Arabidopsis thaliana: one gene and its partners. The protein of the gene in region 1 interacts with the protein of each later gene in a pairwise test. Each region holds a gene or a part of one and is shown in the gene's direction. Other genes may lie near its edges. The genes, in order: PRR1, AT2G37000 and TCP2.

Region 1 (10,481 bases):
TCAATACACCATTTCTCCACCAACGCCACAATCAAATCATCATGCCTCTTAATCTGATACCTAGACGCCAAAATCGCATCGTAAACACCAGATTTCTTCCACACCGTGGCGTGTGACTTAGCCATTACATTAACCCACTCAATCCAGTTCAACGACGGAGTTCCCCACCCTGGAAACGAGATCTTCGCCGTTGGATCAAACCCTTCCGGTGGTCTACACACAAACGCATCGAGAGGAAGGTCAAAGACATCGTCGTCGATAGATGCCGTTGTGTAGTTTAAGAACCTCGCCGTTCGTAAAGATTCAAACTTTTCACCGTCGGGACACATTAAAGCTTCCCTGACTTGAACAATTTGTTCATCTTCTTGATCAGAAGATCCTCGAGACTCCTCCATTATTAGGTCGGAGAACCAAAAACACAAATTTTAGGGTTTTGGGTCAATTTCTGGCTAAAGTTTAGAAATTTACAATGGGGAAAGAAAGGAGAAGCAGTTGAGAGACAAAATCTTGACTCCGGCGCGTTTGTTGCCGGAGATCCCGACAGAATTTTCCCGCTTAACGGGGAAGAAGAAGGAAACAAAAAATGTTTTTTAAAAAGAAACAAAATTTAAAATCTATTTAGAGATATGATAATAATCTAACGGTGGTGGAGCTTTGCTTTTACGTCAGAAGTATACTTCAATTGGAAAATTTTATCCTGTTCCTGTTTTTTGGAACTTTTTTTGGTAAATACAGAAATCTCATTCTAGAAATTATTTTTGTTACAGCTATGAGCTTTACATAAAAAGTATTTTCCAGATAGTATAAGCAGCATAACCAATTTTTATGTAGAATTAACAAAGTGAGAAGAGAGAGGAATTCTAAAAGTTATTAGGAAAAAAACACGTGATTTATATTCTTCAAACTAATTAGATTTTTCTTTTTGTTCAGAAATTAGGATTTTAAAAATTACAAAATACCTTATATATTATTTAAGCTTCTTAATAAAAAAAAATAGTCAAGATTTTGTTTTCATGAAAACTCGGATTTACTAAAAAAAGACGAAGAAATAGATTTCTTATTTCATTCCAATCGATTTAAACGCAAGAGAAAGAATTCATACCACATTCAGGTATCTCGGTTGAAATACTCGTAAATGGTATTTGTGTTTTTAGATTATTAATTTTAGTAATCTCATTTATGAAGTGTTTATTCTCGTTTTCAAGAAATTCTGAATCCAAAATATGAAACAAACCTCGGAAGGAGTTTCCATGTAATCTACGTTTTTCTTTTCACTTAAAAATAAATTATAGATTTAGTTTTACAAAATTGGCAGTTAACGAAACAATTGCAGAAACTAAGCCGACAAACAACATAATAACTAAGAGTCTAAAGTCCAAGAATATGGGAAGCCTACAAACACAACTTCTAATGCATAACAAATCCGAATTCAAGGAAGGGCAAAACATAAACTAACTGAAACATGGAAGATCAAAATCTATAAACAGAATCTAGAACAAGAGACTTTGTAATCTACGTTTTAATACCAACTAAGAAAAAGTTTATCATTAATTAAAAATGTTAATACTAATTAATTAAATGGTAGATAACGGCTACTAGAAAGAGAATTAAAATTCTCTAAAGATTAAGTTTATTAAAGATCCACATAATACAGCCCATTAAAGGCCCAGTCAGTTTTGGGGATCTAGTGCTTTGAAATGTGAGAAAAAATTTTACATTATTATTGGGTATAGTGATGTAATTCATTAAATTAGATTCATTAAACTAGGGGCACATAGATGCAGTCATGCAGAATGTTCCAATACATAAACTATTAATGTTTTATAAGTTAAAAAGTCATAAGATTTGGCTTTTGACATTTGAGTTACATTGTTAATTCAAAAAGTGCATGCTTTCGAGAAGATCAAAAACTTTTTTCTTATTTTTTATTTTATCTACCACTGACTTGGTCAAATTTTTAGCCTTTGTGAAAGAATTTTATTTTTGCATGAATTTAAACCGGTTGATTTAAAACAAATACATTACTTTTGCTAAAGATGGTTCAAGGCGTCCAACAAATACACTGACATAGCAAATTTTGAAATAATCAACTAAAAAATTATTCAACAAATTCAACTGCCTAATCCGGTGGAAACATGCATTAATGGATATAGTATTAAACATCTTTCATTACTTAGAGAAATTTTCAAGGTCAAAACATATACAAAGATATATAAAAATGTTATAATAAGATTTTTTGTTTTAAAGATCAAAGTAGAGTAATATGATATTTGTAACCAAGGGCGTTTTTACTTTTTATCATGTATAAGGGCATCTCCAAGGCTAAACACCATTTTGGTGTTCAAATTACACTATTTTTAGCACTAAAACTTATGTTCTCTCCAACCATAACACCAAAAATCACACTAAAAGAATAATCTACTATTATATTATTTATTTAAAAGATTTCTTTTATTATTTAATAGTTTTGATTAATATTTATTATTAGTATAGAAATACATAACATTATAAAAATAGTACATTGAAATATATATTTAAAAATACATAAATTTTTAACTATTTTAAGTATTTTCATACATAATAATATAAAAATATCATAATTAAATCAACAATTTCAAAAGATATAATATATTAATGTATACATTCATTTTTATATTTTATATTTATTAATCATTTGTAATTTTATATCTGTTAATTGAATTTTTATTGATATAATAAGTGAATAGTGTTTAGAGTTGTGAATAGTATCACACCAAATTTGATGTAACACTGTAGCATTACACTAAAATGGTGTGAATTTTAGAGTTCCATTGGAGAGCTTTTAGTGCAAAAATTACACTAAAATGGTGTTTTAGAGTTTCATTGGAGTTGGCCTAAGTGATTTCAGTTTTAAAAACAAATGGTGTATATAAATAGGGGTTTTGAAAAAAATATATAGATATTAATTAGAGTCTATGATTTTAAAAAAATATAACATACATAAAAATGGACCTATAACTTTTTTGAAAATTATTATATCTCATAGATATACTTTATATAGATGGACCAACATATAGTTTGAGACAACCATGGTTTTAGTCTCATTCCTAATTTCTCCAATTACTCCATTCAAGTGTAGGTGTGAATCAAACATCCAACAAATCTCTAGCGGTACCTTGAATATTGGACGAAACACTGAAACTGTAACCAATTTTATAAGGACAGAACACAAATTCAACTACTTTTTAATTATTACAAGAATGATTTCTTTTTTTTTAAGGATAGAACACAAATCTTCACACGTGGCATCTTCCACAACCAATCACGGTGCTCTCACCAACCCCATAATTAATTTCTCTTATCTATTTGTCATAATTGTTTTTGTTTTCTCCCACAATTATCTTCTAATTCTTTAGTCCACAGCCCCGCTTCGAGAAAAAGGCACGTAATCCTTTGTTTCTCATTCACATTTTCATTTGATTCTAAAATAATATTGGCCATTATTATACATTAACTTTCACCAGAAATTCGTATCTATTTTTGTGTTGATTTAATCGGAATTTGTAATTTAGTAGTCTGCATTCATATTATGTGGAGAACACTCTCTCGAGCAGTCAAGATTTTGTGACGAACCTTATAGAGTTGGTCAAGAATATGCATTTCCCTATCGATTGACCAGCTTTTTAATATTTTTAAGACAATTTTTGTCTACTTCGAAATCTTTCGTATAAATTTTAAAATGAATATTTTGGTATCTAGCATCAGGTTTGTTGATGTTGTATTCTAATCCAGTTTGAGAAACCAATCATCCTTACATATTTTAATTTAGTTTGTGAGGTTGACACAAAAACAAAATCTATAGAAAACTGCATGACGTAGGGTTAATTTGTTCATTGTCTTCAATCTTTTTTCCTGTTGTTTATGATAAAATTAATAACGTTTGATAGTTGATGTTTAAATGTTACAAAATTATTACCCTTCAAAAGATATCATAATTTTTGTGTTTTTAATTTCAGAAAATCATTATGTTTTATACAATTTGATGTTGTAGTTTTCTTTTTGTTCCACTTTGTATCTATATTATTATTATATTTGTTTGTTACTAATAGAAAGAGGAGAAAAGTACAATTAATATTATTAAATTAATAAAAAAATAATTAAAAAATAAAATAAAAAGTTACTTTACTTAATTTATGTGAAAAGAGGAGTAAACGCAAACAAAGAGAGAAGCTCTGTTTTCATATGGCGTTTGATCATTTATTTTTATTTTTTAAAAAATGTCGAGATTAGGTGAACTACTAGTCTACTAATAAGGATTATTATTCCATTGCAAAGAATCTAAAAAGCTCAGATGACATTTGTAAGTCATCACAATAAGGTTGAATAGCTCAGAAGAGTGCGGCGTGTGGGTCATAACGCCACCACTTAAACAATTATTTACTTCGGAGCATTTAGAGATTTACAAAATACACCTATTTGTAGATTTTTAATCTATATTACACATATTGTACCAAATTTTATGTGAATATGATGGCCGAAAAAGAAAGAAAAAATTGTGGCCGATTAGGGGATTCTTTGTGACCATTGAAAAATTGACTATATACACATAGAATTTCAAACAAATGATGTCATGTTTGTAAATGAATACATGCGTAAGCTTTTTAACTGGTATAGAATATAGATTAATTATATATGGAGATAAAAATCTGCTCATGTTACATGTTTTCAAACTCCAATTGAAGAGTTGGCGAATTGTTTTTTCTAAAGTCAATAGTTATGTCAGAAATAGTTAATTTTTGTCAAAGTATACTAAAACGGCCAAATTAATCTCTATTCTCTAATTAAAGTGTTAGCGAAAGATCCCACCAAAACATGTCACCACGAGTTAGAACAATAATCGCTTTCAGAAAGGTCTAGTGGAGTCATCAGGTGTCGTGAGACACATTAGTAAACGAACACGTTAGTCAAATTATTAAGAGACTATGGTTCCACACTGGTAAAGACCCAAGAACTGACTAATCTGTTTTCATATAGACATCTCTATTTTTGTGTTACAATCCAATTATGTACTATTTTCGGAATTAAGATATTATTTACTAATCGTGGATTACCTAATATAAATTCTTTAAAATAATCAAAGAGTATATTTTGTCATAAGTATTCATTGAAAAAGGATATGGTGAGAAAAGTATTAATAGAAAATACGTATTTTCTTTCATAGGCATCATATCAAATGTCGATATCTTTACTTATAATGCATACAATTATCGGTTAGGTGTACACATATATATGTAAATGTATATGTTTCGATTCATTATATATATACACAATCAAGAGAGGCTCTTTCAACCAAAACATTGATCTATAGAGAGAGAGAGAGAACAAAAAATGGGAGAGAGCAAACGCACCGAGAAAACGCGCGTTTTGGTGGTTGGAGCGACTGGATACATAGGGAAGAGGATAGTAAGGGCGTGTTTGGCTGAAGGTCACGAGACTTACGTTTTGCAGAGGCCAGAGATTGGTCTCGAAATCGAGAAAGTCCAACTCTTTCTTTCTTTCAAGAAACTCGGCGCACGTATCGTTGAAGGTTCTTTCTCCGACCATCAAAGCCTCGTATCCGCCGTGAAACTTGTTGACGTCGTTGTCTCCGCCATGTCCGGTGTTCACTTCCGTAGCCATAACATTCTAGTCCAGCTCAAGCTCGTCGAAGCTATCAAAGAGGCTGGTAACGTAAAGGTATAATAAACTATAAATTAAAGTTTAATTATGATTGATCGGTTTAGAAAATTGTGCGGTTAATCTGAAAAAAATCTTATAAGTAAAGAAACCACACGAAAATAAAATTAAAAAAGCCGGAGAGTTTATTTTTGTTTTACTATTTACATTTCATTTATAAGAAAAAAAACGTCAACGGTAAAAGATCCATATTGCATGCATACAAAGAAACTTGATACTCTTGTTGATTATTATTACTTTTTGTTTCTTGTTGTAATTATAATGATATACGTAAGATTAATAATTTCAGCGGTTTTTACCATCTGAATTTGGTATGGATCCACCACGTATGGGACATGCGCTACCGCCCGGAAGAGAAACCTTTGACCAGAAAATGGAAGTGCGTCAGGCGATAGAGGCTGCCGGAATTCCTTACACTTACGTTGTGGGTGCTTGCTTTGCCGCCTACTTCGCCGGAAACTTGTCTCAGATGGTAACTTTACTTCCTCCGAAAGAAAAAGTTAATATTTATGGTGATGGAAATGTAAAAGGTAAAATTTTCAAACTCTTTTTTAACTCTTTGTGGTTATATACCTTTTAAGACTTTAAATTAGATCAAGCCCATCTAAACCAATCAATTTAAACCGTTTTATATTTGTAGTGGTGTTTGCGGATGAAGATGATATCGCAAAATACACCGCGAAAACGTTAAACGATCCACGGACATTAAACAAAACCGTGAATATTAGACCTCCCGACAACGTTCTCACGCAGTTGGAATTAGTTCAGATCTGGGAAAAGCTAACCGGAAAAGAATTGGAGAAAACAAATATTGCTGCACAAGACTTCCTCGCCAACATTGAACGTAAGTCCAAGCAATAGTGTAACGTAATCTACTTTATGTTCGGCAACATATCCTTAATGGGCCAGGCTTTAGGTCTATTTGAAAAATATAGCCCATCAACTTTATTTGATTTCTTTTACATGTATGTAGAAATGGAGATTCCACACCAAGCAGGGATAGGACATTTCTATCACATTTTCTATGAAGGATGTCTCACTGATCACGAAGTCGGAGAAGACGAAGAAGCTTCTAGTCTTTATCCTGACGTCAAGTACAAACGCATGGATGATTACTTAAGAATGTTCCTCTGATTTGACCAAGTCTTATCTATACTAAATACACATATCAAAAGTTTGATGTTTTATATTCATTCATGTTCTGCTATATATGCAAATTTAAAAATATATTCTTCATGCAAGAAAAAATATTATCTTTGGTTTTTAACAACCAATAAAAAGAACAACAACAACACAAGGAGTAAGGCGTTGGTAACTCTACTGATTGAACCCTACCTCGTAACTTCTAGTATGGAAGAATACGGAGGTCCAAAGCTCGAGAGGTTTGATGAAATCTTGTATCTCGGTTCGTAACTAAGATCAGAACAAAAAACACACACAACAACAACAACAACAAAATATCCATGGAATTGCATCGATATGAAAGAAGACTACTAACAAATGAGAAAAAAAATCAGTAGGAAAGTAGAAATATGAAAGATCACAAGTTTTTGTTTCTTAAAGCAAAAAAACCATAAAACCCACTTGTAAGCCCAGTCTTTAATTTATATACCAGTGCTAAACTATGTGGTTGCAAGTTGGAATTGGAACTTTCTAAGTGTATGTGAATATGCATAAATTGAAACCAAACAATTAGTTGAGCTTGTGTACTAAATTATTGTAATCGCCGCCAAAAGATAAGTAATAATAAACTATTGCTCTCTTTTGTGGACAACAACGCACACGAGACTATACAAAATTTGATGGAATAAAAGACAGCGCATAAGACAAGATAAACAAAGGCTGATAATTGCATAATGTGCATATGGGACTTTTGGAGTGTCATCAATGAATCACGAGGACGGATGTTAGTATATTACAATTGTTTATTACAAACTCGAATAATTCCAATTTACCATCATTGACACATAAACATTATGAAATCAAATGGTTTGATAATGATCCTTGCATATATAATTATAAAAATCATCAACCCGAATTTGAGTTCGAATGAAAACAGATAATTTTACTATCCACTACTACGTCACATATTTTTTTTTAGTCGCGATTTCGTACAAACTAATCGGTGGTTAATTAAAACGTAAAAGTCAAATATTTTTGTTGTGGATAGAATGTAAACAATACTTTTTTAAGTCATAAGAAGGCAACACAAGCAATGTTAGCATAATGTTTATTGCCAACGAGTAGATAAACGTGGATGAGCGCATCAAGACATGTTACTAATCCCAAAACCTTAAGCAAAAGCGATATTAAAATTTATCAAGATCATAGACTCTGTACATAATATTTTTATTCCTGAAATGACTAAAAATTGTATGACTGATCAAACGTATAGAATTGTATAACGTTTGTTGACAAAAACTTGTTCGTCAAAATTTTCTTCTATATTTTAAATAAAGCTAAAACGAGTCCATATTTTATTCCCGCAAAGCTTTTTGATTTCCTCGACCAAAATAAATGCATGTCCTACCTAAAAACTATAAGTACATCTCCTAATACGAAGAATATAATTTTATCATGATTTGTCATTTGGTTATAATTTATCCATTATTTAGATTAGGTAACCGAAAACTTTGCCTTTATTTGAAAAGTTAATACAGAAACTCATAAAAGGCAAATACAAGATGCTTCTCCATATATCAAACCTTATTTAATTTCTAGTATACCAAAAGAAGTCAAAAGAAAACGAAATTTACTCCATCACTCGATGATTTCACGCGTGCTACTACTTTGATAGTTGGTCACTACAATAAGCAATGAGCATTTCTCAATTCTCATACTCTCTTTAGGAATATAATCGTAACAAAAAAACATCAAATGAATTATTCAAAATTTATTTCCCAAAAGAAAAAGATTTTGATATCTAACCAAATTTAAATCCGGCCCACACAACATGATACTTTGACACCAAATGTTGAGGGTTTCTCTTATCTCTTGGCTCTAAACCTAATTCCAACCCAAAAAAAAACATATGAAATAGTACAATACAAATATCAAGGGGTCTTAAAGATATTTCCAAAATATAAGTAAGAGGAAATGAAAATTAGCTGTATACAATATAATATATTGTCCATAATTTTTTTATATATATAATATGGTATTACCTTATGTCAATTAGTTATAATTATACATTACAATTGATAAACATGCAATGATTTGTGGGTTTTAGTTTAAATAATTTTCAAACATTATTATGTAACTTATGTTTAACTATTATGAATTTTTTTTATCTTTTCGGATGTCATCTATCTTAGTATTAGATCAAAATAATTTACCATAAAATCTGTAGAAAGATTTTTTAATTTTTTTGGTAAGGTGAAGAAAAAATCATTTGTTTATAGAAATGGATAATATTTTTATATAACAATTGGAAAAAAACCTCAAAAATAAAAATATTAGAAACTCCTAGAGTTTGGATACTTTCTTCATTCTCTTTCTTTCTCCTTTACGCCACTCTCCATCAAAACCCATCTCTCTTCTCTTTCTCTCTCGAGTTTATCAACAATGGCGACTCTACAAGACATAGGAGTCTCAGCTCTCATCAACCTCTTCGGTGCTTTCTTATTTCTTATAGCATTCGCTGTCTTAAGAATCCAACCCATCAACGACAGAGTTTACTTCCCCAAATGGTATCTCACCGGAGAAAGAAACAGTCCTCGGCGCTCCGACAGAACTCTCGTCGGAAAATTCGTAAACCTCAACTACAAGACTTACTTCACGTTCCTTAATTGGATGCCTCAAGCTATGAAAATGAGTGAATCAGAGATTATTCGTCATGCTGGTCTTGATTCTGCTATCTTCCTTAGGATTTACACTCTCGGGTAAGTATTTTATCTTCTTCTTCTCGGAATTTGGTTTTGTCTTACATAAAAAACGAAACTTTTTGAGAGTTTGAGTTGTTTGCTAGTAAAATCTGTTGAGAAGTCAATATCTCGAGAAAATGAAAGAACAAAAAAATCGAAACTTTTTCAATATTGATAGAAAAATGTTGATTATTACAGTTGCTCTTTATTTTTATTGTCCTACATAATTATTTCACTAAGATTTGATTAATGGTTCTCGAGAGAAAAATTGTTACTTTCGAGAAAATTTATGTTTTTTTGGTTCTTGTTCTTGTGGGTTTTTTGTGGGATTGATTGTAATCTCCAAGAACGAATTTTTACGAGTGACAAATTCCCGAATTTCACGGTTTTAAGAATCTTTACTCGTGAGAATGATTGTACTTTATTTTAACAATATAAAGAATGTACAGCTAAGTTTCAGATTTGTCTGCTCTGTATTCCACAAAGACAAAAGCAATAGAAGTTTCGTTTCTGTTCACTGTTTCGTGTTTGTTTCCTGAGAAAAAGTCACTCTTTAGATATCTTTCTTTTTTCCCCGGGAAAGTTACTGTAAAAATTTATGTGAGAATCTGAATAATTTGTTGGTTTGTTGGCAGCTTGAAGATCTTTGCACCAGTGATGGTATTAGCGCTTGTTGTTCTTGTTCCAGTAAATGTATCAAGTGGAACACTTTTCTTCTTGAAGAAGGAACTTGTGGTCAGCAATATCGATAAGCTCTCTATATCCAATGTTCAGCCCAAATCTTCAAAGTGAGCTTACTTGTGAACTAAAATTATGCTTTACTAATCAATGAGTTTTACTGGCTAAAGTTTAACATTTCTGTGTATGTGTGTGTGTGTGTTTAGGTTCTTCTTTCATATTGCA
Region 2 (10,026 bases), on another chromosome or scaffold:
AGAAGCATCAAGAGAAATGGACATCAAGTTAGATCACTCTATCCCACACCAAAAAATACTGAAGAGCTCGAGATATTTTTACAAGAAACCTTTTGTGCCTACACAAAAACAATGGGTTCATTTGAAGCTAACCTGCAATAAGTCCTGAAAGTTGAGTCCACGATTCTGATATTGTTTAGCTATATGGACTACCAGACGTAGGTTTGCTGTAATCAACTTTTCCCGGCTGCTTCTCCCACGGTGGATATCAGATTTTAAGACAGGGGAACTTATCCCCATAGCTTCAGCCCACTCGCCTATTGTTGGTTCGCAGCCGTTTTGAGATTCAAGTTTAGTCTTTACCTTCTCCAACTTTAATAAATGCTGATAGATCAAAGATTATGGAAGTTAGCACCAGGGACAAGAAGGAAGTCCAAGGACACATGAATAAGGAAAGCATGAACCTGTATATGTGATATCAGCTCAGCTTCTTCTTTAGCAGTCAGAAGTTGTTTTGTCTCAGGTCCCCACAAGAAGAGCTGAAGCGCATCATCATTATCAGCCCCTTGTTTATACTTTTTCTTCGCACTAGTTTTCTGAGGAACATAACCCTCATCGTCCACATCGTTTGATTTTGGAGCCCGTCTGTTCTTTGCTCGTCTCTCTAGCTGCCGCTTCGATCTTACTATGTTTCCCTTTTCCGGTAAGGACATAGAAGAGCTAAAACCAAACATCCAGAAATACAAATCTTTTCACATTACAGCCCACAAGTAGCAGATTGATAAGATACACAAACAAGGTTAAAAAAAGCAACCTAGTGGAGAGAGAATCCTTGATGTTGTCAGATGGATTTGCTTCAGTGTCATCAACTAACAATGCAGCTTGTTTTGAAGCTGATAAAGCCTTCTGAGCTAGTGCAACCACATCACAAAGCTCTGCATCAGCTAAAGGAGACACAACTGCCGGCAATTTCGTTTCAGATGTTAAAGGAGATATTAATCTGCAAACAAAAGAAAGGCTACATCATTCAGAAAACTCAAAAGGTTGTATGAAAACTGAAACTGGTGGGTTTAAGAGAGGAAGAGACATTACAAATTCCATAAACCAGTAGAGTGAAGAAGTTGCTGTTCAAATTTCTCATCTTCTCGAGATGAAACCAATTCATCAAACTGCCTCCTCTCCAGAGTCAACTAAAAATGCAAGGAACCCAATCGCATTAAACAAGAGGACTAGAAAGTTGACAACTTTATGATTGATTCAATCTCTTAGGACAATATTGCTGCTAATAAAACACACCTGGGATGTTCTATCGTCTCTTAACGCATGTGACAGAGGCCTAGACTCTTCCCGTGGCTCCTGTGAGAGAACCGACGCAGGAAAATGTCGAGATAGAGAATTGAGATGACGTGAGTTAACAACAGGAGTTGTTGTTTGATCATGAAGCATCACTACTACAGAAATACCAACAAACGAACAAAAACAAATCAGAAAATGCTAACACAAACTCGTATACATACACTAATTTCAAATTGAAATCCATGAACTTCAAATTCCAGTAACTAACAGAGACAAATCCAGCAAAGACACAATATTTCTATATGAAGAGTAGCTGAATAAGAAGTACCAGAGGAAGGAGAAGAGTAGCTGCTCTTGAGATGAGTCTTTGTCTGAAACGAAGGAGATGAAGAAACCAAGTTCCTCGTAGCTTCCATTTCACAGAATCACCAAAGAATAAAAGACTCTGTTTTTGCTTCCACGAATGGCTAAGGAAGAAGAAGAATAAGAACATGAGGCTACTCTACAGAGCCATGACGAACAGATAAGGCGACACACACACTCCCAATTTTTTTTTTGTAAAAATTAAAACTTGTTTGTTGCCATGGAAGTCAGATTTTGTTCTCTCTCCCTTTTTTTTTTTCCTACAGAGTGGATCATGTTGGGCCTTATATTGGGCTTAAAAGCCCAAATTATCCAAAAGTTAATTCGAATCATCTTCTTCTCCCTCCTTTAGTAACCCTAAGATTCTCTCTGTGAATCCTTGTTCATCGTCACTGAAATTAGTTTACAAAATCGACGAATTCGGAGATGATTTTTCAGAATGTGTGCAGAAATGAGTCCAACTTCAACGCTATAGCTTCCGAATCGCGTTCCCAAACGCAGTTCGGTGTTTCGAAATCCTCCTCGAGCGGCGGCGGATGTATCTCCGCCAGGACTAAAGACCGTCACACGAAGGTTAACGGACGAAGCCGTCGAGTTACGATGCCGGCTCTCGCCGCCGCTAGGATTTTCCAGTTAACGCGTGAGCTCGGTCACAAAACTGAAGGAGAAACCATCGAATGGCTTCTTAGTCAAGCTGAACCGTCGATTATTGCCGCCACTGGCTACGGGACTAAGCTCATTTCGAATTGGGTTGATGTTGCGGCGGACGATTCCTCGTCGTCGTCGTCGATGACGTCGCCGCAAACGCAAACGCAAACGCCACAATCGCCGAGTTGTAGGTTGGATCTTTGTCAGCCAATCGGAATTCAGTATCCGGTGAATGGTTACAGTCATATGCCGTTCACAGCGATGCTTTTAGAGCCGATGACCACGACGGCGGAATCTGAGGTTGAGATCGCGGAGGAGGAGGAACGTAGACGCCGTCACCATTAGTAAAATTAGGCTTTTGATTTAGAGTGTTAAAATTAGGATTTTAAAAGTTTAGGAGGTAACAGATAAGGATAATTTAGTCAAATCATGTTGTTTAGTTTGGTAATGTTATTTTGCCACTAAACAACTAATAATATTGTTTGATAATCTTATTATTTGGTTTTGGAAACAAATTGATTAAAAAATAATGCCATATGTTTATAATGTTTATATTGTTTTTCTCACTATTGATTTGTGATTTTTTAGTAATGCTTGAAATCATTAAGCAACACTATTTAAATAAACAAAAATTTCTCATGAAATCCAAAGAATCATCATTTGTCATGCTCCTCCAATATAGTTATTTCTATTTTTGGAAATAAGTTATAATTAAGAAACCAATCATTTTTCTCACCCATTTTTTTTTTCATTTGCTAGAAATCTGGACCTCCTTCCATGATGACCCTTCTCAACTCTCTTCTTTCACGCAAGTCTCTCATTTTTCAACTTTCCAACTTTTGATCTCAACGTCAACATTTCAAGATTTTCTAAAAGAGAACAAAAAAAATCTACAACAAGCTCGTTAGCTTTCTTTTAATCCTTCATCTCCATTTTTCAAGAATATACTCATTGGTTTTCTCAAGACATGATAGAAAAACACAAGACATCTCTACGGATATTTCTATTGGTAGCTTCCAATGTATCTATTCTATTGTTAGGTCAGAGGGTTCAGATATTTCGATTCGGAAGGTTCTGATTTTAAGGCAAGACTTTTGATATAAGAACAATGAGAGTTAGGGTTGATGTTTGTTGGACACAACACATCTTCTTGTTCTTTGTTTTTGGCTTGAGTTTTATGTCATTTGCACTATCTCTGGATGGAGATGATTACAGCAAAACAGGGAACCCAAAAGCTCTTGTTTCGGTTACAAACCTTATCTATACTCGACTTCAGAATCTAAAGACTGTTTTAAAGGCTGACGTTGATCGAGATTTAGGTTATTGCATCAAGAATTTGTAAGTCTTTTCAAAATCAGCTAATGTAGTCCCATGTTTGAATTTTACATTTTTCTCATATCGTTTGTTGATAATTCAGGAAGGGCGATTGGAATGAAGCATTTAATTTTGATAAAAATCTGGACTTCTTAAGCAATTGTGTCAAGAAAAATGATGGTAAACAACATAAAAAGGGTTATGTTTTTATATTCAAATACTTGAACATTGAGATTTAATGGTCTTGTGATATGCAGGTGACCTCACACTTAGACTATGTTCAGCTGCGGAGATAAAGTTCTACTTTAGTAGTTTTGTTAGAAGAGATGAAGCAACAACGGTTCATGTAAAGCCTAACATCAACTGCAATTTAGCTAAATGGGTTTCCGGATGTGAGCCTGGATGGAGTTGCAATGCAGATGATGAAAAAAGATTTGATCTCAACAATGGAAAAATTCTTCCATCTAGAACTCGTAAATGTCAACCTTGTTGTGAGGGTTTCTTTTGTCCACAAGGTCTTGCTTGCATGATACGTAAGATATCCATTTACATACATATATGTTATATCAACATTATAAGTACTAAAACTTTAATCTAACATATTCATTGTTGTTTATTCTCTGATTTATGTAAACGAAGCGTGTCCGTTAGGCGCATATTGCCCGCTTGCCAAGCTTAATAAAACAACAGGATTTTGTGAGCCGTAAGTTGTTAGCTTTCTAGATTGAGTAAGTTAATGAAAAATCTTATTAGTGGATGATTTAAAGAGTTTTTACATTGCAGATATAACTACCAAATTCCTCCGGGAAAGTTGAATCATACATGTGGTTCTGCAGATAGTTGGGTTGATGCTGAGAGTAGTGGTGATATGTTTTGTTCACCAGGTTCATATTGCCCAACAACGATTCGAAAAGTCACTTGTAGTAGTGGGTATTGATTCTTTTATCTCACAACTCTTGTTACTTTTTGAAAATTTGTTTCATATATGAAATATTCATCATTAAGGATGTAATTAATGTTTTTATGTATTACTTAGACATTACTGCAGACAAGGTTCTACGTCACAGAAACGTAAGTTTCTAAAACACTAAAACCTAAGAAAATGAATTGTTTTATAATATCATTATCATTCATTAATTCTCTTTTTGGTGACCGTTTTAGCATGTTTTAAGCTCGCAACATGCAATCCGAATACCGCAAACCAAAATATTCATGCCTATGGAGCGATCTTAATTGTAAGTTGTTAGTTAATTAGAATACATTTTGCTTTAAAATTTGTTGGAAATTATATTTTCGTTATTGTATATATAGGCATCACTAAGTCTTCTCATGATCATGGTTTATAACTGTTCTGATCAAGTTCTCGCCACTCGAGAAAAAAGACAAGCAAAGTCGAGAGAAGCTGCAGCGAGACATGCAAAAGAAACAACACAAGCTCGAGAAAGGTGGAAAACCGCAAAAGGTGTTGCCAAGAACCAAAAGATGGGATTGTCTGCACAACTATCTCAAACATTTTCTCGCATGAAATCTGCTAGAAAGGATGCCACACCAGTTAAAGCATCGGGAAAGTCAAAAGACAAGAAAAAAGAACCGAGTAATTTAACCAAGATGATGAAATCAATGGAGGAGAACCCGAGTAACAACGAAGGATTCAATGTAGGAACCGGTAGTAAACCTGGGAAGAAGCCACAAGCTCCAAAGGGTAAACAACTACATACCCAAAGCCAGATTTTTAAGTATGCATATGGTCAGATTGAGAAGGAGAAAGCTATGGAACAAAACAACAAGAACTTGACATTCTCGGGAGTTATTTCAATGGCTACTGACACTGAGATGAGGACTAGACCTGTTATAGAAGTCGCGTTTAAGGATCTAACTCTTACATTGAAGGGTAAACATAAGCATATATTGAGATCTGTCACCGGAAAGATCATGCCAGGTCGTGTTTCTGCGGTCATGGGTCCATCAGGAGCTGGAAAAACTACATTTCTTTCTGCCTTGGCAGGAAAAGCAACTGGATGTACGAGGACGGGTCTAATCCTTATAAATGGTAGAAATGACTCTATAAACTCGTATAAGAAGATCACTGGATTTGTGCCACAAGATGATGTTGTGCATGGCAATCTTACCGTCGAAGAGAACCTTCGATTTAGCGCAAGATGCAGGTAAATTTATTCTCATATCATAGAGGAGATTGAGAGTCCAATTCTTAAAAAAATACATTTTTATTACATAGTGTTTATGCTTCAAAAAAATGTTGCATATCATTTATTTATATATGTTTCTTTACATGCAGATTAAGTGCTTATATGTCAAAAGCAGACAAAGTTTTGATCATTGAAAGAGTGATTGAAAGCTTAGGATTACAACATGTAAGAGACTCGTTGGTTGGTACGATAGAAAAAAGAGGAATCTCTGGAGGACAAAGAAAACGTGTGAACGTTGGTGTTGAAATGGTCATGGAACCTTCTCTATTGATATTAGATGAACCCACTACAGGTTTAGATAGTGCATCTTCACAATTACTTCTTAGAGCACTTCGACGTGAAGCACTTGAAGGTGTTAACATTTGTATGGTCGTCCATCAACCCAGGTATGTTATCTCCTCCATGAATTATGTTACAATTTTATGTTAAGAAATACTTTTTGCTTAATAATTGGTTTTTTCCTCTTATTAGTTATACAATGTACAAAATGTTCGATGACATGATAATACTAGCAAAAGGTGGTCTTACCGTGTACCATGGATCAGTCAAAAAAATAGAAGAATATTTTGCTGATATCGGAATCACGGTTCCCGATCGTGTCAATCCTCCTGATCATTATATAGATATTCTTGAAGGCATTGTGAAACCAGATGGTGATATAACTATAGAACAACTTCCTGTGAGATGGATGCTGCACAATGGTTACCCTGTGCCTCACGATATGTTGAAATTTTGTGATGGACTTCCTTCCTCGTCAACTGGATCAGCTCAAGAGGATTCCACTCATAATTCTTTTAGTAATGATCTATGGCAAGATGTGAAAACTAATGTGGAGATTACAAAAGATCAGTTACAACACAATTACTCGAATTCTCATGACAATTCTAATCGAGTAACTCCTACCGTAGGTCGACAATATAGATATTTTGTTGGAAGGTATGATTTTTCTAGATTTGATAGATGGAATTTTGTGGTTAATTTCATATGTACATTAAAACTTTAGTCTATCTATTTCAGGGTTGGAAAACAACGGCTTAGAGAAGCAAGACTACAAGCGTTAGATTTCCTAATATTATTAGTTGCGGGAGCTTGTTTAGGAACTCTTGCGAAGGTGAACGACGAGACAATCGATACACTTGGCTACACATACACCATAATAGCTGTCTGTAAGTTTCTTACGTACACAAATATTAATTTACATTTACTAGTATTCGCGATTTTTGGAACGTTAACTAAGCTCTTTTCTGTATGTCTTTCTTTTTTTGTAGCTCTTTTGTGTAAGATCTCGGCATTGAGATCATTCTCTGTAGATAAATTACAATATTGGAGAGAAAGTGCCGCTGGAATTAGCAGTTTGGCACATTTTATGGCTAAAGACACAATGGACCATTTAAACACAATTATGAAACCTTTAGTGTACTTGTCCATGTTCTACTTCTTCAACAACCCGAGATCTAGTTTCGAAGACAACTACATTGTACTAGTATGCTTGGTCTACTGTGTAACAGGCATGGCTTACATTTTTGCCATATTGTACAGTCCTAGCGCCGCACAATTGGTTTGTCCTCACTTTCTCATAATTCATATATGAAGGAACCAAAATTTTCACTAACCATATGGTACCTGAATTTGCTGTTATGTTCTTGCAGTTGTCGGTGTTAGTCCCCGTTGTTATGACTCTTATCGCTAATCAAGATAAAGAAAGCATGGTCCTTAAGTATCTCGGAAGCTTTTGCTACCCCAAATGGACTCTCGAAGCCTTTGTCCTTTCCAATGCTCAAAGGTAGAAAGTTTGAAGATTTAATTCTTCTAACACATAATCAAATCTTAATTCAGAAAATTTGATTTTGGACTCTTTTTTTTGGGTTAGGTACTCTGGAGTGTGGGTGGTGACTAGATGCAGTTCATTGTCTCAAAACGGATATGATCTTAGTGATTGGATATTGTGTCTCATTGTTCTCGTTCTCATGGGACTAATATGCCGATTCATAGCTTATTTCTGCATGGTTACATTCCAGAAGAAATAATCTAATAATTACACATGATTAAAAAGCTTACATTTTGTAAAATTCTTCTATTTTTCATACGTTAAATATTAAATGAGTTATATAAGTAGTTTATAGAATTAGAGAAGAAGGGATTTTAGAATTCCAATTTTGTAATTTTTATTTGTAGATAATGGTGATTATTCATCATGCTTTTTCTTTCTTTATATGGTAACCGGTTTTGGTAAGATAGAGTCATACAGAGAATGATATACAAAGAAATCGGTTTATTTTCAGTTACGATTCTTTGGTTTATATGATCCGGTTTAATTGGTTACTAAGATGATGTCGGAAAGAGAATAGGGAAGCGGCGTAACTAAAAAACACGACACGATGATGAATTCGGCGTTTCGAAACGTTCACATCACTGCGTCTCGTTTGATAAACCCTAAGCCCTTTTCTTCTTCGATTCTCCATTTTCTTCCTCTCTGTTCCGGCGACGCTTCTCCTCGCCGTTCCAATCCTCTCCGGCATAGAAACTCGGTGTCTCCTTCATCTTCCTTTCCCTTCTGTTCGACTTCTTCCTTTTCTTCTTTCTACATTCCTATGGCGGGAGGAGATGGTCAGGTGTCTCATTCGCTTGAGAAGCAGTTCGAGAGTTTCCGTGTTCAATTGGAAGAATCTGCAGCTTTGAGAGAGCAGATTCGTGCTGTGGTTATGGAGATTGAGTCTGCTACTAGGCTTATTCAAGCTAATCTTCTTCTCGTTCATCAATCGCGTCCTATTCCTGGTAAATGATTAGTCTTTAGGTTAAAAATTGCATCTTTTAGCTAAATGTTTGAAATGGCTTGATGGGTTCAGAACTTGGTGATGAAGTTCTCTATGAAGGGAAGTAACTAAAAATGAAGAACTTGTTGAGAAAAGAATGAATATTGAATTACACATAGCCTTTGTTCTTTTAAGAAATTCATTGGAAGTGTTTGGTTGTTACTAATATAGATTGCTCGTTTTGTTGATGGATCAGAGGTTATCGAGAAAGCTAAGGAAAAAATCGTTGATTTGAAGCAGTATTATGGTCGGCTTGCTGAAATTCTTGAGGAGTGTCCTGGACAATACTATAGGTAAGTTTGAAAGCTATGTGTAGTTAGATTTTCTTTATTTGCAATGGTTTTTTGTTAAAAGGTTTTTGTAATGTAGGTACCATGGAGACTGGAGAAGTGAAACACAGGCAGTGGTCTCCCAGCTTGCTTTTATGCACTGGCTAGAAACTGGAACTCTTCTCGTGCATACCGAAGCTGAAGAAAAACTTGGGTGTATGTCTCTGGATCTCAATTTACTATTTTCCTTACTTCCAAATACTGAAATACATATCATGGCCTAGTGGTTGCACTATAAATAAAACCTTATTTTGTTTTGCTAGTTCTCTCACAAACTTTTGTATAGAAACTTCCTTCCCACAATAGGTAACAACTGAGCTGGCAGTAGGCAATCAATTTGAAATCCGTTCATGACTCCAACATACTATACGTGTTATCCTGTGACCCTCCTTTTGCCTGACCTGTCTCAGTTGGAAAAACTAAATGAACGAGTTTTCTACTTTTCTCAATAATCAGATTCAGTTTGCCACTAGTCTTCTTCTCTTATCAGTATGTTAATTAGTCTACCTTTTCTTGCTCGTTGTTATTGATTTTGTCCTTAGGCTTTGTTTCAGTCTGCATTTTATCCACTGTAGTGTCAACCATTTAGCTAAGATTTGATTTTTTCACCTCAATAGAGTTATTAGTTGCCGTTTCCCATGAACTCAGTTATTCTCCCTTAGGATGGATGGATGATAATTGGAAGGTTGGTTTTTCATTACGTTGGTGTAGAATAGATATTTGCCCAAGTGTCGTTTTGTTTCAAATCTGGGTTTTGTTATCTTGTCAAATCAATTGTCTTTGAGTAAAATAAACAGAACAAGGTGTTGGTCAATTCATCTGCCATTATGGCTCTTCTAATTCCACTTCATTGTACTTCAGTGAACAGTTTGGAGTTTGGATTGGAGACAGAAGATTATCTCACTGGTAAGTTTCTGAGAAAGAACCCATATTTGCTCTGGAAGGCCAATATCTATAGATCAAATATGCCTTACGAGCATTTTATGAATCGCAACATTGCTTTTATATTCTCTGATCTTCAGCTTTTTGAATACTTTGCAGGAATTTGTTTCATGTCAAACGATTTGGTAAGATCAT
Region 3 (11,589 bases), on another chromosome or scaffold:
TGGGCGTGATGCTTAATCTACGTAGGTATGATGTTCATAAATGAGTTCTTATGCTTCAGGTGAAGTAAAAAAAAAACTGTTGAATGATTGAGAAATTTTATTTGATAATCTAAAATTATATACAATATTTACACAATTACTAAGAAGAATTAGAATCACCCTTTCTAAAGACATCTCTTAACTAGACCGAGCGAAAATCCGGCAAACCGGTCTAAGACAATCAATCGCAGCAACCGCCTGATGCTTAGCCTTCAAACAGAATCTCTGGAACCAATTCGTGTCAGGAGCAATGACAATCATAGAAGATTGAACATACATCGAGGCTGCTCTTTTCACGAGCTCGTTGCTAATGGCGATGTTAGAAGAATCCATCTCTGACAAGAGAAAACCATCTTGTGAAGGAACACTGTATTGTGGGTGACAAAACAACGAACCAAATCCATCGGAACTTGAGATCACGTCTTTCAAGCTCGTGTACTGGAGATTATTCTGATCATTGTCGTCGGAGATAAAGATGTAGGGTGATTTTTGCAACATTTGGAAACCTTGTCTCCATATTCGTAGTAGTCTTTAAATGGTGGGAGAGTCTGATGAGTTTAAATATCTTCCCTTGTTTTAGACGACCGGTGATTCCTTCTATTTAGCCTGAACTATCGGAAAGGCCTTCAATTTTTTGGAGACTTTCCACTTTTAAACCACATATAAAGGAAACTAGTCTGAACATTTAAACCAAACAAACCAAAGTTATAAACCGAAACTTAACATGGGCCGTGAAGTATACACTGGGCCTTAACTAAAGTATATAATATTGTCCAAATTATTATTTTGGAAAATTAATTTTACATATAAATTTTGTAAGTTCCTTGGTGGTAACACATTTTATTTCGTCTGCTTTAATCATAGTTTTGGGGCTTGATGGAAACATGACGTTGAACTCACTTTGACTATGCTATAATTTATATAATATGCTATAACATATATATTTATATATATTATTTAGATGTTGCAACAAATATATGTATGTATGTTGTGGTCCTTCGATGATTGACGAGAGATAAATTAACCAAGTTTAGTTCATAGACTAGTCTGAATTGATTTACATGAAATGGGTAATAATAAATTAATTAGAGTTAATCTAATAATAGAAAGGTATATACCTCTAGGTGGACCTATATTTCAAATCACAATTAGGGTTTATTCCATATATAGAGCATGTAAGAAGCTTAATAGACAAAATTAATCATGAGTCATGCCCCCACTAGATTCATTAATGGTCCATTTTAAAAGGACATCAACTTCACTTGTATTTTAATGTACTCTCTTAATCAAAACACTTGACACAATAGATTAAGAAATAATTTCGTGTCGGATTTCTTTTCTTTTCTTATGTTTATACAGTAAACAAAAATTATATTTCAATTTTGTTGTTTGAATTGTTTAATTCGTTTGATTTTACTTACTCTGGTTTTCTAGATACCACAAATAAATAAATAAAAACTGTATGAAATAGTAAAATAAGAGAAGCATGTGAACGCAAGTCTTCGTATAAAATTATTTTGCTCTAAAACCAATTTAAACATAAAAATATAATTTAACTCATTAAATCGGTGAAAAACTTCCGATTTGTATTAGTGATTTTATCTTTTTTTGTTTGTAAAGAAAAAAATGATACATGACTCTCGCAGTTAGCCCATCTTTAAATTGAATAATTTTACCCAACCTATACAATATTACAATGCATACGATTTGTTAACTTCATCGTCCATTTTTGGTGTTTCAAATAGTTAGATTTAACAACACAAAAAAATTCTATGGATATATTATTTTTGTGCAAGGCAGTAATAGTACATAGTTGCAATGACCAGAAAATAGTACATGTGCAATAAAAAGGCTGTTTATAAAATCATAACATCACATCACTCACTGTGGTCAAAACAGTACGCACTACAATACGAATCTAGTAAAGATTCAGATCCATACATTGTTTTTATTTTCTAATTATTTTTGATAGTTTGGTTTTAAAATATTTAAAATACGGATACTCTAATTAAATTTTTGAATGTAACACATTAAACGCATAATACTTAAACTCATAATATGCCTACGTGATAGACTGATACTATTGAAAGAGATATAAACTTTACTGACCGTATATAATTTGGTTATTTGACGATTGGTTATTTACAAATCTTACATTACGAGCAAACATATACATGGGTATTCTGAATCTTGATATTCAGTATTGACTACTATTCAGGAACATAAACATAACTACTATTTTCCTAACTAAACAAGTAACATGAATACTATGATGAGAAAAGAAGAAATGTATAACTACAAAATATAGAAATCTCCAAGGCCAATTATAATTAATAAGGTTGATATTAACAAGCAACATATATATAAGAATCAGGGTTCTTAATTTTAGTTTTTTGTTGTGGTTTTTTTTCGTTGTTGTCTATTTTAGTGATTGAAATTCATTTAGAGGACTGATTGTCAAAAAAATAAAAAATAATCATTTAGAGGACTTGGATGAGCAGAAGCAGAAAATTAAAAAAAAAATAAGCATGAGAAAATAAGTAAGCAGAAATTTGGGTGACCAAGAAGCAGACACGTGCAGTGGTCTGGTAAAGGCAACAGTGATCGAGAAGTGAGCAAGTGTCCGTTAAGACAGCGACACGTGCTCTCGAGACCGTCGTGAACCACTTGCTCTACTTCTTTCCCTTTTTCGTCATTTGTTCTTAATCGCAGTTATTGAATTCCACAAACCACATTAACTAATAACTAATCTGTACTTATTAAAGTTAATAGAGTATGGTGTAATACCACTTGACTAAAAAAATACTACTAGATTATTAAAATTGCAAACGATTTGTACTAATTCTTGAATTAAATTGTGCGTGTTTTTTCCATGAAGTTCTAGTGATGTGATGTGGGATTGACATAGTGTAAGTTATTAAAATAGGGGTTTGGATTTCTTTATCAATATGATTTGTTAGGTGGAAAAGAAATGTATAGGTTTTAAAATAGTTTTCATTCTTCCTTAAATATCATTATCCCGGAAATTTAGTTATTTCTACTTTAAAATAGTTTGTTTAATTTTTAGATATTTGCTTGGATTATGTGCTTACTTTGATAATTGTTTTGCATTGTCTCCAAAATAAAATTTGTTTTTATATTTTTATTAGGCTAGTACATGTTATGGTTAAAAATAGAAAAATATCATAAAAACTGCTAAATTTAGACATTTTCTCATATAAAATTTTTATTTTTTTTGTTCTATATAAAATCCCAAACTTTTCAAATTTGAACCCGAGCAATGGCTGACTAAGACCTATACGATAATTTAGTTAAAAAGGTCGTTGACGACATATTTTTCATTTGATTAATTTTTGAAATTCACACATAATAGTTACAATTTTTCTAATTTCTAAGATTCATAGTATAAGTTTTTATCGTAATAAAGATATTTTTTTGGTAAATAACAATTAACATTGTTATGATACGGACAGTATATATATTTCCATGTAGCATTTTTTTATAAAAAAATTTCATTAACATAAGCAAACTTTAAACACATAAACAAAATATAAATAATTTACTCACATATCTAAAATTAAAAGACCTCAAACCAAATAGATAATAAAAAAACAGAGGAAGGATTCGAGCTTTATGCTCAAGAGAGAGGGTCGAGTTTACTCTGCAAAATGTTCTGAATATACAATATTAATCATGTCGGAGAACAAAAAGACTAAGAGTGTAGGCGAGACCGCGAGAGTTCCTTTTTTAAAGCAAGTAGATAAAAACTTGGAAAACTAGCTTGAGAATGAGAGATATGTTTATATTGCGGTATGAATCTTTTATCTATCTAAATCTATGTTCCGAAGGAATTGGTGGAAAACCATGAGCTTTACATGTAAAGAATGATAGACCAAACCTATTTTGAAAACATAAAACATGTAGCATTTTTTATGATCGAAACATATCATAGAGTAGATTATTGAGTATTAATCGAATTCTATTTCTATGAACAAACTAAAATCCTAAGGACACTTGGACAAAGTGAATTGTTTTTTTGTTTGTTCTCCTCTCCTACATAAATATACATGTGACATGAGATAATATGATTTCTCATATTCACGCATTGATTTGTTTCTAACATTTCTATAGCATTTATGTTCACAACTTCTTGATATAATAGCTGCCAAAAAAAACTTCTTTAAATATTTTCTTGTGTTTTTATTGCCAAAAACAAACGAAAATATCAAATAATTTTTCTCACCTGAAATCAAATTACTGAGGATGATAATTTAATACAGATATTTTGTAGAGGACCGTGGCAATTCCGTGAATAAGTAATGTAATGAAGGGCAAAAATGGAAATAAAATCAAAGTTTATGCCCAATATCTCTCTCCCCATCTGATGATCACTCCTTTAAAATCACCATCAAAGAAATTCCAATTTTCTCGGATTTTTATTTCTTATATACAAATCCCTAAAACCCTATAGCCCTCTTTCTTCGTCACCTACTACTACTAACTCCAAGCTCAAGCTCCTCTGTTTCTTCTGTAAGTCTCAATTTATCTCATCGAATTTTCCGAGAAACAAACAAAAACCAATCTTTTTCATAGAAAGAATCTGAATTTCGTGTTTATACTTAATTCTGATTCCAAAAAAACAATTCTAGATCTAAGATTTTTATTTCTTGATGAGAATTTCACTGTAGAAAGAAGTGTATTTGTTCCTTTAATTTGCTTTAAAATTTTGGTTTCATATAATCTCAAAGCCAAGAGCTTGACACCTGTGATCTGCATAGAATCCAGAACACATCAATAATGATTCCTTTTTAAGAATTTTTAAATTGATTTAATCTTCTTGTTGGTTACTATGAAACAACTCTTTTTCTTTCATAATTAGAAACACCAAAATCTTTATATAGAGAAGAAAAGCTTAAAACTCGATTTCTGCATTTTTTGTCTTCTTACTCTTTAAAGCCCTCCATTGATAATCGCTTCAGCCGAAAGCAGTTGATTCAGCTTAATTATTTATCATAGCTTCTGATTCTTCTTCTAGCTCCTTCTTCTTTAATCACGATCATTAACTTTAAACCCGTTTTATCAATTGTTGTGATATGTCAGATCTACAATGAGTAGAGCATAAATTCGAATCAGAATAACTGATATCTTAATTATGTGTATATATGAATGAAAGTCATCTGTAGAAAAAGTCGATAAGGATGTAACATATATATATATATATATAAGCATTTATGTATATATATATGTGTAAAGATTTGTTCTTATGAGATTGTTTCTTTGTTTTTGTTATTGCAGGCTTGTGGTTAAAAATCATTTCAGACACAGTGCTTTTGATGACTCTCTGCAACAAACAACAGCAGCTGCAGACAAAGCTTATACGAAGCTGTATCTACTGACTTTGATGGTGAAATATCAAAAACCCTAAATTAATTTTAAAAAAAAACACATTTTTTTTCTTCTTTTGGTTTTTCCTCTGAGGGTATTCATCATCAATGCTTACAAAGTACAGTGGGTAAACAAAACAAAAACAAAAACCCATTTTTTTCTCCTTCTTTAAATCCCAAACCAACCCTAAAGTTTTGATTTTTAATTTTGGGGGTAACCAAAAAAAAACAAAACCCTAATTTTTTTTCTTTAGTGATGAGATTATTGGTGATGATGAAATGATTGGAGATCTAATGAAGAATAACAACAATGGCGACGTTGTGGATAACGAAGTGAACAACCGGTTAAGCCGGTGGCATCACAATTCTTCCCGGATAATTAGGGTTTCACGAGCTTCCGGTGGTAAAGATCGACACAGCAAAGTCTTGACTTCTAAAGGACCACGTGACCGTCGTGTCCGGTTATCAGTCTCCACCGCTCTTCAATTCTATGATCTTCAAGATCGGTTAGGTTATGATCAACCTAGCAAAGCTGTTGAATGGTTAATCAAAGCTGCTGAAGATTCAATCTCTGAGCTTCCTTCACTCAACAACACTCATTTTCCGACCGATGACGAGAATCACCAGAATCAGACATTAACAACAGTTGCTGCTAATTCCTTGTCTAAATCTGCTTGTAGTAGCAATTCAGACACGAGCAAGAACTCTTCTGGTTTGTCTTTATCAAGATCGGAGCTTAGAGATAAAGCTAGAGAGAGGGCTAGAGAGAGAACAGCTAAAGAGACCAAGGAAAGAGATCATAACCACACTTCGTTTACGGATTTGTTAAATTCCGGTTCAGATCCGGTTAACTCAAACCGGCAATGGATGGCTTCAGCTCCTTCTTCATCTCCAATGGAGTATTTCAGTTCGGGTTTAATTCTCGGGTCGGGTCAACAAACCCATTTCCCTATTTCAACAAATTCTCATCCTTTCTCATCAATCTCCGATCATCATCATCATCATCCTCATCATCAGCATCAAGAGTTTTCATTCGTTCCCGACCATTTGATATCACCGGCAGAATCCAACGGCGGAGCATTCAATCTTGATTTTAATATGTCAACACCCTCCGGCGCCGGAGCTGCCGTCTCCGCCGCATCAGGTGGTGGCTTCAGTGGTTTCAACAGGGGGACCCTTCAGTCCAATTCAACAAATCAGCATCAGTCATTCCTCGCTAATCTACAGAGGTTTCCAACATCAGAAAGTGGAGGAGGTCCACAGTTCTTATTCGGTGCACTGCCTGCAGAGAATCACCACCACAATCACCAGTTTCAGCTTTACTATGAAAATGGATGCAGAAACTCATCAGAACATAAGGGTAAAGGCAAGAACTGATGATATTAATTATTGCATCTTTGGTTTTGTTCAAATGCTCATTTTGTATGTTTATCTTTGGTTTATTTCAAAACAAATGTTAATCTCTTTCGTTGTCTGATGTGTGTTAGGGTTTTGTTTTATGTATTGAGGGTCTTTGGAAATCTTTTTGCATTGTGCTTGTAATGTTGTATTTGTGATAATAGCATTTTGTTTGTGAGTTTATAATTGAATTTTTGAATGTTATTTTTGCCATGTAATTGGTATAGTTAGCATTTTTTTTTTCTTTAGTAAATTGTTTATAGTACGAAGATACTGTTTCTTGGTATTCATGAACAAATGGTAGGTCAAGGCAATAGGGCGATCCTTTTAAGGTACTAGATTGAATCAAATCAAATACTCAGAAGAATTAAATACAGAAATTAAGAATTTTCCCAAAAAAATAAAAAATACAGAAATTAAGTGAAGAGACAAAAAAAAACTTGTAAATAAAAATAGAAAGAAAGAAAATATACATAATAATCAGGGAAATAAATAATTTTGATAGACAAAACTGAAAAATTGAGGGTAAGGCCATTATGCATTGAAGAGAGTGAAAATCAAAATGAATTGTCTCCTGTTGTGCTCTATGTTTGGTTCCCTTCTTCCTTAGCATCATCTCTCTCCATATGTATTGTTTTTATAATCTATCTATCTTATGAATATATCTTCTTCATTTGACAGCTGTTGTCTTCAACAATGGCTATTCCCAAATTTTCATGATTTTATTTCTTATGATCTGTTTATATTATTATAAGTTTTTTTAACTTTTTCTTTCATGGGCTACTTGATCTTCTGCACCCACATGGCTAACCCATCTTTTAGGGTACTAGACAAAGTATTATTAAATTCATTCTTTTAGTTGTTTATTAGAAAACTTTCAACTTTTGTGTGGTTTTGGGATTTAGAGTAAAGTTGTTTTACTTGTGATTCATGTGTGTTTGAGGCTTAGGTACTTTCAAGTAATTTCCAAAAGTGAGAAAGATAATAATATCTTAAAAAACCTTTGATTGGGAGTCCCAATATTATATTGGCCTAAAACATTAGAAACAATAGACATTACAAAATATTTTAAATAACACAAAAGTGTTTGGAGATAACCATTTTATTATGAAAACACATAATTTTGTAGGTTTTTAATAAATATAATTTTTGAATATAATTATGTAACATCGCAATTGGCAAATGTTTATTGATACTGTTTTCAACAATTGCAATATATTATTGATTTTATATAGTTTATATTTTATTATTATTATACTTATATTGACTTCTATATACAGTAATTATGAATTCATAATATATAAGTTTGTATCAACACTTGTGTATATGATTTTTTCTTTTCTTTATCTGGTTAAGTTTATATTGGGCTTAGAACATTGACTTTGTTTCAAGGTTTATCGACCCATTAGAAGTTTTCTTTTACATGAGTTTTGTTTTCTAAAAGAGTTGCTTCACTTTTTTTGCTCTTGCGGTTTCTTTCGACGAAGATTGGACTCCAGTGGGCCGGAAAGAAGAAGGCCTTATAATCCCGAACCTTCTCTTTCAGAAAGTTATTTCTCCAAAGGGAATATTCTTAATAAGTTTACATTGTCAATCAATTAGAACCAACTTTAGATTTTTCGAAACAAACTGTGACTGTACGTCTACGGTCTACATATTAGCAAGTCTCAAGACTTTTACCACAAACTGGTGGATAAAATTACAGACCATGGCTTTTTAAAAACAAAAAGTAAAAGTGAAAAACATACAAAAAATAGATAGTTGATGATTCAAACTAAAATTAGATACAAATTAAGCATCGGAGGTTCTTCATATAGGATGTACATGTACTGATCCGTTTGATAGATCATAGATCTAACCAATATTTTTATTCAGATATCTTAACTAAACTATTTCTTTTAGTTAAACTTTACTTCATTTTTGAATTAATTAAACAGTTTTTCTTTAGGCTCTGAAGAGTGGAGAGGTCATTTTCTACATTTGTGTATAATATATTCGACATAATATGTTCTTTACTTCTTTTGGGGGAAAAAGCCTTAATGTTCGGGAAGCCTTTAACCATCCATTTCTTTCTTTTTTTCCTCCAAAGCCTTTACATGCACAATGAGAAGTCCGTGATTTTGTTCTTTTCGAAAATAAAAGTCTCTTTGGTTATAGATTAAATTACGTCAATCAGATTTATTCATGAATATAATAATAAAGCTGATTAAGAGAGGAAGATAATGTTTATCTTTCTTTTCTTACAATAGAAGTTGCTATGTATATGTTAGTATGTTTATTAAAGTTAAAGCAAAGAAAATTAGATGAATCGTTTGCAACGATAAATGGTTGTTTTGTTTGAGAGTTAAGCAATGCCTAACCCTAAGCTTAAGCAATGCTTGAACCATAAAATGTCCCCATTGAGCTGAAACGAAAAAATTAAGTTTGGTTAGAGCTACACATGTTCTTAATCTTTGTTTACTGAAAATACAATTGTATACTTACTTAATAATCACAACTTTCACTCGTCACCAGATCATTTGATCATTGCAGGGACAAAGTAAAACTCGAACACGTTCTGATGCAAATTAAAATGTCGCTTTTTTTACAAAAAAATTTACAAGGATTAAACTCACATAGATAACAAAAGCATATCATTTTGTTTTATGTAAATTATATTTTTATGGTAAAAAGTGGTGTGTGAACGTATCTGAGCGAAATAGTGATTTCATCAGAATTATTACGGAAAAAATATTTATTTGATCTTAAATAATGACAATTGTGACATATATTCTACATTATCATCATTACTCAATGTCCACTAAAATTTCCGTAAGTAATCATATTAATTTTGTTGTCAAAAAGGGTACAATAATTTCATCCCAATCACAAACTTTTTGCCTGCCCGAAAGTAAACAAGTGGGCTCTTTCTTCTTGAAGTATCCAATATCTTTCAAACAGACTAAGCATATCAACATATATAATACTTCTTGTCATGTGATATGCATATGTAATCAATGTAAAGCGGAATTTTTTAAATTTTTTGAGAATATCTTTAAAACAATTTAGGCACACACATTGCTTGCGTCCAAGTCCACCAATACATATTTTAACAACGTCGCTAGTTTTAGACCAAGTTGCATTTCATTGGGTTTTCAATGATTTGATCAACACATAAATTGCAAAAAAATCATTGGTTCAAAAATGAGTTCAAATTCCATATGTAGTTAACATGGTAGATAATAGGTTGAGTAGATTAATATGTAAATATTAGATAACATACGTCGAAACTTTTGCTTTCTTTTTATAAAATATACTGTAGTTTTAGTTTAGCTTTAGGACCGAACCAGAATCCAATGGTGGTACAGGTCCCTGAGTCTCCTGAACCACTCTTTGCCTTTGGTATTGAATGAAAAACTTTAAAAGAAAAATAATGCCAAAAAATACGAAATTTAGAGGAATTACGAACAAGTAGGTGGCAAACGAAATTACCTGATGTGGTAAAAAGTAATAAAGTACTTTACATTGCTCAATATTATTTTTTAAACAACTTGGGACAAGTATACAAAAGACAAGGAGAAGCAAAGCAACTGTATCTCTTACCTACAAACAATATTCACATAAATAATGAAAGAAAACTTGCTACATGGAAGATTTTATAAGATTAAAACTTGCTCTTACATGATTGCTTTGCCAGCTAAAACAAAAAACAGCCAGCGAATGCGGTTTCCGATGACCAAGCAGACGGAATTCGAACCTTCCAATAGACCAATAACACATAGAATTGAGCTCCATTGGTGAATCTAAGATTAGTCACACTGCATACAAAACTGATCTTATGCATTGTAGTCTCTCTCTTTCAAAACCTGGTTAGCCTTTGTGATTCATTCACCTATCAAACAAGAAAGAACCAAGAATAAGGTTTGTGACAATGAAACTTGTCCAAAACATAAAATTTACAATCTTCAAAGTCAAATTTATAATGAATTCGTTCTAATTCCTAGAATCAATAAACCAATACTAGTTCCTTAGTCTCACAATAGATACTCAAAATTACTTTAAAAACAGAGTATTTTAATACCTCAGATCCGACTTAGCGAAATCGTCAAGCTTTAGAACGAATTCATTTCAAGACAATAAGTCCTTCTCTTAACCAACATCTTAGCAGCTACCCCATAAGGCTCATCAAACGCAGAAGAAACCCAAGACACATCACACACCTCCTTCTTCGACTCACTCGGCCTAATCGCCACAAGCGTAGCTCCCTTCAACACAGTCCCATCAGGCAATTCCAAAGAAGGAGCATACCAAAGTCTCATATTCAAAGCAGGTACAAGAGTCCTCTTAGAAGCTGAAGAAGCTGACAATGGTTTCACTCTCAATTCCTCTAACTGATCTCGATTCATACACAAAACTCCTTGACCATCAACATCAGTAAGCACTAAACTATCAAGCGTCTTATGCTCTGCTATAATCGGTTGCAACAAGTAATGTCTAGCGGAAGCAGCAATCAAAGAGCTTATAGTCCATACAACACGTAGCTTAAGCCCTCCGTTTGTATAAAACGATTCCGGTATACTTCCATTATCTTCCACCGCCGCGACGGGAGCCGAACTCGCTTCCGTCTTATCCGAATTCGTCGGCGGAATCACAGAGGAAGCACCGAGGATCACACAATTCTCGAGAGTAGAACCAAATTCAGCTCTCCATTTCAATAAAACACCATCATCAATCCCTAATTCACCACTAGGAAGCTCGATTTTAAGAAACTTAATCTCATCGAAGTTTT

What was found.
Region 2: the proteins of PRR1 (region 1) and AT2G37000 interact in a two-hybrid assay, tested with the Arabidopsis thaliana proteins (one study listed by BioGRID).
Region 3: the proteins of PRR1 (region 1) and TCP2 interact in a two-hybrid assay, tested with the Arabidopsis thaliana proteins (one study listed by BioGRID).

What each region holds. Positions count from the first base shown.
Region 1 is NC_003070.9:11,542,840-11,553,320, reverse strand, and holds PRR1 (pinoresinol reductase 1), read left to right. Parts: upstream 1-5,304; 5' UTR 5,305-5,367; coding exon 5,368-5,715; intron 5,716-6,004; coding exon 6,005-6,245; intron 6,246-6,355; coding exon 6,356-6,559; intron 6,560-6,688; coding exon 6,689-6,849; 3' UTR 6,850-7,161; downstream 7,162-10,481. Other genes in the region: AT1G32120 (serine/threonine-protein phosphatase 7 long form-like protein), read right to left, coding at 1-395; AT1G32090 (early-responsive to dehydration stress protein (ERD4)), read left to right, coding at 9,280-9,596, 10,214-10,366, 10,463-10,481. UniProt on the Arabidopsis thaliana protein: Reductase involved in lignan biosynthesis. Involved in secondary cell wall biosynthesis in fiber cells. Unlike conventional pinoresinol reductases that can reduce both pinoresinol and lariciresinol, PRR1 shows a strict substrate preference toward pinoresinol.
Region 2 is NC_003071.7:15,538,326-15,548,351, forward strand, and holds AT2G37000 (TCP family transcription factor), read left to right. Parts: upstream 1-1,920; 5' UTR 1,921-2,064; coding exon 2,065-2,631; 3' UTR 2,632-2,923; downstream 2,924-10,026. Other genes in the region: SIGF (RNApolymerase sigma-subunit F), read right to left, coding at 133-363, 444-699, 794-979, 1,072-1,169, 1,276-1,430, 1,604-1,691; NAP12 (non-intrinsic ABC protein 12), read left to right, coding at 3,395-3,624, 3,704-3,780, 3,858-4,133, 4,240-4,303, 4,384-4,530, 4,637-4,671, 4,762-4,835, 4,912-5,759 and 6 more; AT2G37020 (Translin family protein), read left to right, coding at 8,186-8,582, 8,817-8,913, 8,990-9,105, 9,811-9,855, 9,991-10,016.
Region 3 is NC_003075.7:10,158,423-10,170,011, reverse strand, and holds TCP2 (TEOSINTE BRANCHED 1, cycloidea and PCF transcription factor 2), read left to right. Parts: upstream 1-4,428; 5' UTR 4,429-4,569; intron 4,570-5,334; 5' UTR 5,335-5,702; coding exon 5,703-6,800; 3' UTR 6,801-7,090; downstream 7,091-11,589. Other genes in the region: AT4G18395 (uncharacterized protein), read right to left, coding at 178-537; AT4G18380 (F-box family protein), read right to left, coding at 10,913-11,589. UniProt on the Arabidopsis thaliana protein: Plays a pivotal role in the control of morphogenesis of shoot organs by negatively regulating the expression of boundary-specific genes such as CUC genes, probably through the induction of miRNA (e.g. miR164). Participates in ovule development.